Linked DNA regions of Nothobranchius furzeri. The protein of the gene in region 2 purifies or fractionates together with the protein of the main gene of each other region. This does not show direct contact. Links are inferred from orthologs where the notes say so. Each region holds a gene or a part of one and is shown on either strand. Other genes may lie near its edges. The genes, in order: atraid and slc37a3.

The links.
Region 1: the proteins of slc37a3 (region 2) and atraid purify together in Homo sapiens (affinity purification with mass spectrometry; 3 studies listed by BioGRID and IntAct, counting the BioPlex papers as one, with this or other methods). This does not show direct contact. The link is inferred for Nothobranchius furzeri from reciprocal best matches to the Homo sapiens genes SLC37A3 and ATRAID.

What each region holds. Positions count from the first base shown.
Region 1 is NC_091742.1:1,494,641-1,497,416, reverse strand, and holds part of atraid (all-trans retinoic acid-induced differentiation factor), read right to left. Parts: intron 2,344-2,776; coding exon 2,275-2,343; intron 1,917-2,274; coding exon 1,845-1,916; intron 1-1,844. UniProt on the Homo sapiens protein: Promotes osteoblast cell differentiation and terminal mineralization. Plays a role in inducing the cell cycle arrest via inhibiting CCND1 expression in all-trans-retinoic acid (ATRA) signal pathway.
Region 2 is NC_091741.1:53,486,463-53,490,390, forward strand, and holds the start of slc37a3 (sugar phosphate exchanger 3), read right to left. Parts: upstream 2,519-3,928; 5' UTR 2,385-2,518; coding exon 2,308-2,384; intron 1,776-2,307; coding exon 1,661-1,775; intron 1,419-1,660; coding exon 1,326-1,418; intron 1,157-1,325; coding exon 1,073-1,156; intron 931-1,072; coding exon 785-930; intron 705-784; coding exon 608-704; intron 513-607; coding exon 428-512; intron 356-427; coding exon 153-355; intron 82-152; coding exon 1-81. UniProt on the Homo sapiens protein: Unlike the other SLC37 members, lacks glucose-6-phosphate antiporter activity.

The DNA.
Region 1 (2,776 bases), on a different chromosome or scaffold from region 2:
ATCCGCTTGTTTTGTGCCATGGATTTCACACATGATGTCCGTGAATTTTAAATACACACTTTTCATACCAAGAACGTGTTTATTTTAGAACAGGGGGAACCACTATTTTAGGGTTTGTGTGAAAATAAATCCAGGACTACAAATACGCTTCACGAAAGTGACGTCATTGAACCAGACACGGAGAAAACTGAGGGAAAAGGGCTGTAAGTTCAGCAAACCTCCCACAGGAGGAAAGAACCACCATAAATCTGGCCATAAATCTGGGGCAACGGTGGCACAGGAGTTAAGTGCTCGCCCCGTAATCGGAAGGTTGCAGGTTCGAGCCCCGCTCAGTCTGTCGCTGTCGTTGTGTCCTTGGGCAAGACACTTAACCCACGTTGCCTGCTGGTGGTGGTCGGAGGGACCGGTGGCGCCAGTGTTCGGCAGCCTCGCCTCTGTCAGTGCGCCCCAGAGCAGCTGTGGCTACATTGTAGCTCATCCCCACCAGTGTATGAATGTGTGTGTGAATGGGTGAATGACTGATTGTGTTGTAAAGCGCCTTGGGGGGTTTCAAGAACTCTAGAAGGCGCTATATCAAATACAGGCCATTTACCATTTACCATTTGGTAAGTAGCAGCTACTTTGGTTAGAGATGATGTGGTGACGTCACGTATGCGACGTGCCGATTTCTGGTTTGTAGTCATGCTAATAACTTTTACAAGCCAAAAAAATCTCAAAGTACATGACAGGCATGGTCGAAATACCCATCATTACTTTTCATTTAAATTGCAGTACAACACATGTGCGATCCAGGGCGTAAGGCAAAGCGGATTAGAAAATAGCGTTTTTAGCCCCACTGACTTGCATTCATTTTTTCGTTTTTCCAGGGACCCGTGATGCGGAAGTAGACTTAGGCTCCCTATAACACGACTTGGACCAAATGCGACAATTGGACCATTCGGTTGTCGATCTCACAAGACCCCCTTACTTCCACATTTCCCTGAGTCCTCCACTCACTAAGCTCTCGTTTAATTAACAGAACATCACTGGTGTGAAAGGTTTGCCGGTCAATAATATATGAAAAGTAAAAACAGCTAGCTGCTACTACTCCAACTTTAGAAAACAAAAGATGCTTGGGCGTAAAAAAACAGCTAGTGGTGTTTAGCAGTATTTAGTTTCCTCTGGAAATGTGGGTTTCCTGTTCTGGCAGACGTGGCCTGGGGATGATAGCCGACAAGAGGAATGAGTGTTCTGTGACCGCATTAGCTTAAAAGCTAGCTCTTTCTGTAAATTTGATATAGCAGCTTTGAAGGTGCATTATGTAGAATTGAAGTAAAAATTACATCCTGGGGTAAAATTTGGTTACTGCAATCATTTTAAACAACTCTGGAGCTTTTTGCCGGCAGTCGTTAAATTACAATTGTTGGCACTGCAGTATTAGCTTGCAGGCGACACAGCAACACCACATCCACTGATGGTAAACAGTAGTTACGTCCCTCTTTCCTTTGTTCTGAAGGGAGAAAAACTGACAATCTCCGCAGCCAGCTGGATATGAAATATGTTTCAGTATAACCTTCCTTCCAAAATGACTGAAACATTACTCTTTTGGGATTTCATCACAGTAAAATTCTCACTATATTCTTACATAGTGCACCTTTACATTTTGTCTTAAAAATCGCAAATATAATCTGGTTTTTAGCATTGTGATGTATCGTATCATCTCTCCTGTATTGTGATAAATATCGTATAGCCAGATTCTTGCCAATACACACCCCTAGAAAAACACTGTAGTTGACTATGCAGGAAAATAAAAGTTCATCACAAATTTGATTCAGTCATAATTATAGATCTCGGCGGATACTTACATGTAATTTAAGTCAAGAAATCCTTGAAACACTTCATCACTGATGTTGATAAGTGGATTGCGTGAGAGATCTCTAAAATACAAACATTTAGACAGTAAAATACTAATAAAACAAAGAAGAGATTATTTTAATTGTGAGGTTTATTGACTTTCGCTATTTATAAAAAACATCAGTTCAAGACATTTTCCAGGAAGAAAAAAGGAAAATATGAAGTTAAAAAAAATGGAAACTTTTCTAAATTTCTGCTTCCTACAAAAATTTGTGTCAGCATCTTTCTAAGAAATTAGCCTCATACATGTTTTAATCCTGGGTTCAGCGAAACAGAACTACAGTACTATCTTATCATTAAAAAGCTTGTACATGCAGAAAAAACTAAGCAACAAAATAATAATCTTTATTTTTCTCCTACTTGTAGTTTGTGTGTACTTACATCATAAACACTGAGGATGCTTCTTGAAGATTGTCCACGTGAGTTAGCGAACAATTGGATAAATCCAACCTGACAAAAAAATATCGTGTTTTAGCACAGAGTAACAAAAAGATCCAGATTTTCTATAATCGTGAATGCTTGACCTTTACAAATTTCCCAACAAAAGGAACAAAGACACTGGCTCGATTAAGATGTGTCCAAACAGACTACAAAACTGTCTTCAATTACTCTTTTATACATCAGTTATAACAATTAGGAATTTTTAGAAAATATTGATACATTGAAATATCGCAGTTGTTGTGTTATACTGAATCAATATTTAAAAGCAATGTATCGAGCTTTTATTAAGAATTTACATGCAAACATTTACTGCATTTCTTTGTGTGGTGCAATTCAAACTCCGACTGCTAGGTGGCAGCAGTTGTTACCACCCTTCTGAAGTAAGAACATATCTCCTGACAAACACTGGAGTCTTGTGGGCCATTCCCATCTGTACCGGGTC
Region 2 (3,928 bases):
GTAGTTGTTGCTCAAGTAAAATGGAAGCCAGAAGAAGAAGGAGTAATTAACCAGCTTCAGACACGCATAAGCCAAGGAATACTGCAGGACAAAAGGAGGACGAGTGATGCAATCGCTCTGGTGAACACCTCTTTAACGTTAAGAAGACTCACGGGCAAAACTCCAGGTAGACAGAAAGCCTGGAAGAAGCCGATGGCCTGAGGAGACTCCTCCTGAGGTTCGTCGGGCTGCTGCACTGACGGGAACCGCCTGCTGCACACCTGCACCTCCTCTTCCTCCTCATCACTCATCAGGGGCCTGTGGCTGTCTGAGTCTGCCTCCACTGGGCTAAGTCCAGTTTCTGACTCCACCAAACCTGCCACAAATGAACTCACTGGGTCAACAGCTTCTATGGTTAGGAAACGACACACATTTCTGCCTTTCTTACCAACTTCTTTAGGGGAAGTGAGGAGGCCGAAGAACACCACCACTCCGCCAGCAAACTGCACCACAGATGTCACCAGGAAGGCATACTGCACAGACGATGGAAATATTAGCTCTGAGAGTGTTTTGGCAAAAAAATAAAAAAAATAAAAAAGCTGAAGGTGTGTGTGTGTGTGTCTCACACCTCGTATCCATACTTGAGCACACTAGAAGCCAGGAAGGCTCCCAGTATGTTGCCAACAGAAGCACAGGCGCTCCACAGCCCAAACACAAAACCACGCCTAGAAAAAATAAATAATACATTGAACAAATAAATTTTATAAATCCCTGGTGAGCAGCTGCCTGTAAACTGGTCACAGACCCCGCCTTGCCGAACCAGTTGCCCATGACGGCCACCACGCAGGGCCAGACGGCCGACTGCAGCAGGCCGTTCATCACCCAGAGGCAACAGTACAGATAGATGTTGTAGATGTGGAGCCATTCCGTCAGAGTACCAAACACAAACTCCTGCAAGGAAACACAAATCCCGACTCTCTGAGCGTTTCATTCACATCTGTCAGGAGGTTCATGAGATAGTTTACTAATGAACACGCGTCTTTCAGCAGCAGATAATTAGCATCACAAGAAGCCAACAACATTCAGTTCTGACCACAATAGCAGAGCCGCACAGGCCAAAGCAGAGAACGTAGCGCAGGTTGACTCTGTCTCCTACCACTCCACTCAGATACAGACCCTGTGAGGACGAGAGCAGATAAAACACTGACTTGGTTCAAATTAAAAAGACTCAAAGTTCTTTGCTTGATTTTAATTCCTGCAGAAGGCTGCTGACACTGCTGTCAGGAAGCGTGAGCTAACTTAAACGGCCGCTGAGGATTCTTGTCAACATGTTCTGGTTGACTCACCACTGCGTAAGAGAAGAGGAAGATCGAATCCAGAGCTCCCAGAAATAGAGTAGCCTGCTTTTCATCAGCAAAAAGGCGATTGTCCTCCCATGTCTGGACAGAAAACACACCAAATTAAACAGTTTATCTAAAAATAAAAATAAATTAGCTAAAAGGAACCTTTCTGATGCATAATTACATTTCTGGATGCTCTAGGTATAAAAACGTTTTTTCCTGAACTTTAGCTTTCCAATCATGCCTTCTGAAGTGTCAAATTAGGAAAACAGCCATGCGTCGCCACTGAGTGGCCATTTTTTAAATAAAAAATGATTTTAATTGGACGTTTTGATCATTACTTGACTGGGGGAGAACGCGGGTATGCTGTCGTTCTGGATGGAGGGTGTCCACTGAGCAGAGATGCTCACTTTCACGTTGCTAAACGTCTTCCTGGATGCATGGAGCAACACATAGCTGCAAAAAGACAAAACATGGCAAAACATTTAAAGTTTAAGTCATTCTGTGTTTAATTTGGCTGCACATTAAACAGTACTGATCATCCTTGCTGCTCTAACAGCATCTAGGTCACCTCACTCTGACGACCTTTAACCCATTTTGCACAAGCTACGTTTAAATTATTGATCGTCTTTTATGGAGCTTATTAGAAATATTGAAATTAGCAAAATATAAACTGAAAATAGTAAAAAAAAAAAAAAGCATAAAAAATACATCTCATGGGTTCTAATTACTATGCTTACACCCAGAAAAGCAACTGGAGGAGGACGTTATCATTAGAGCCAAAGAGCTGCATTGTGGGAGCTTATCTCCTGTTGGTGATAAGGATGGGTTTAACTAGAGCTACAAACTCAAATATGGTGGAGAAAAAGAGACACGGAAGCATCTCAAGAATCAATGAATGGATTTAAAAAAATGGATCTGTGCTGTCAAGAAAGCAGAAACATTTGTTTTATTGATGCTGGCAAACCCAGTGACCTCTCCAGATTACCTAAAGAAGGTGAGGAGAAAGACAACCAGATGATGATGGGTGTACTGTGACAGATAGCCACAGTACGAGGGAGGCATCACGGGGTGGGCGAAGGGAGGAAGAGGAGGATGAGGAAGGAGGTGGTGCTGGCTGGAGGTCTTTGAGAAATATGTGGAGAGGTTCAACTAGGATGCTCCGCTAAACCAGATGGGACAAACACATCACTACGGGAGGGACGAGGAGCCTGCAGAGGAATGAAGTCAACGTTAAATGAAATAGTTGATCTGGTATCTTGACACGTTTTTGAGGACTTCATCAATTCATGCATGAATGCACAGGTTCAGGTACGATGACGAGTGCTGCCTCGTGGAAAGCAGCCGTCTTCCTGTGCTTTTTACGGACACCTGGTCTGAATGCCTCCTTGTGAACGGCCATGAGCAGCAATCAAAGAGGCCAGTGTGTTGGCATTTAGAAGCATCCCCCACCAGAGGGTCCAGCAGCAACTCGCTTTGCTGCTTTTATAAAACTCTCAGAACCTCCTGTGGGGTTTTAGTTCTCAAGCAGCACGATTTTACTCTAGATGATGATCAAGGTTAGATTAAACCCGATGCTTGCATCATTTATTAAGTGTCTTTGTTATTGTGTAACTGCTGATAAATGGGTTGGACAAGAACACAATGTGAGGATTAAAATAAACAGTTCATTAGCTTTTGTATAATCAACACACCTAGAAACCGGCTGTTCTTATTAGGTTCCTATGTGTTTATTACTTCAAACTGCGTACTGAACTGATTGAAATATTAACAGAAACACGTCTGAAGCTAAAGGTCAAACAAAACACGATTTTTTTAATCTATGGACCCTTTTCGTGTCGTTCAACAGACGTTACTATGGCAACTATAACTAAGCCATTGTGTGAGTCGTTTAAGTTAAACTACTGTCATTAGTATGTAGTCTGTTTAAAAAATTTCATTCAACGATTTATTTTCTTTTTTGGGAATTTGAAGAAGGAAACTGTCATATATGTTACCGCGTTGGGTCAGGGCAGGCTAAACCGCAACGGACCATAAGTTCCGGGACCGTCAAACACATAAATGAGAATAAAATTGTTGAAAAAATAAAAATAAAAACACGGTGAGTTCCTACCTTTAGAACCGTTCGCTCGGAGCTTGGCTGAATCTGTTGTGTTTACTGTGGATGTGTCATTAACGCTAGCAGAGCGCTCAGCGCGGCGCGCTGCTGCCCCTACAGGACAGGAGGAAAAATCCAAGTGTTACATCAAAATGTTTCCCCTAGAAACATTGTCCCCCTCACCCGTCTTTCTCGCTCCGTCTCCAGTGGCGTGTCCAGATCTTTTAAAATGGGGTGGCCCAGGTGAGGCACACCTTTGTGCAAGGGTGGCACCAATGGTTATGCTTTTTTTGTTTTACCCCCCAAGCCTTTTGTGGACAATGAAAAGCCTATTTAAAGGTAAATTAGTGTGGTGGCACCTGGGGTGGCCAATAAGATTCCAAGGGTGGCATGTGCTACCCCAGGCCACTCCCTGGACATGCCCCTGCCGTCTACCCCATAAATTTTGAAGAAACAACAGCCAAATCTCTCACATCGAGATTCACAGGCTTACACGCCACAGCTCTTATTT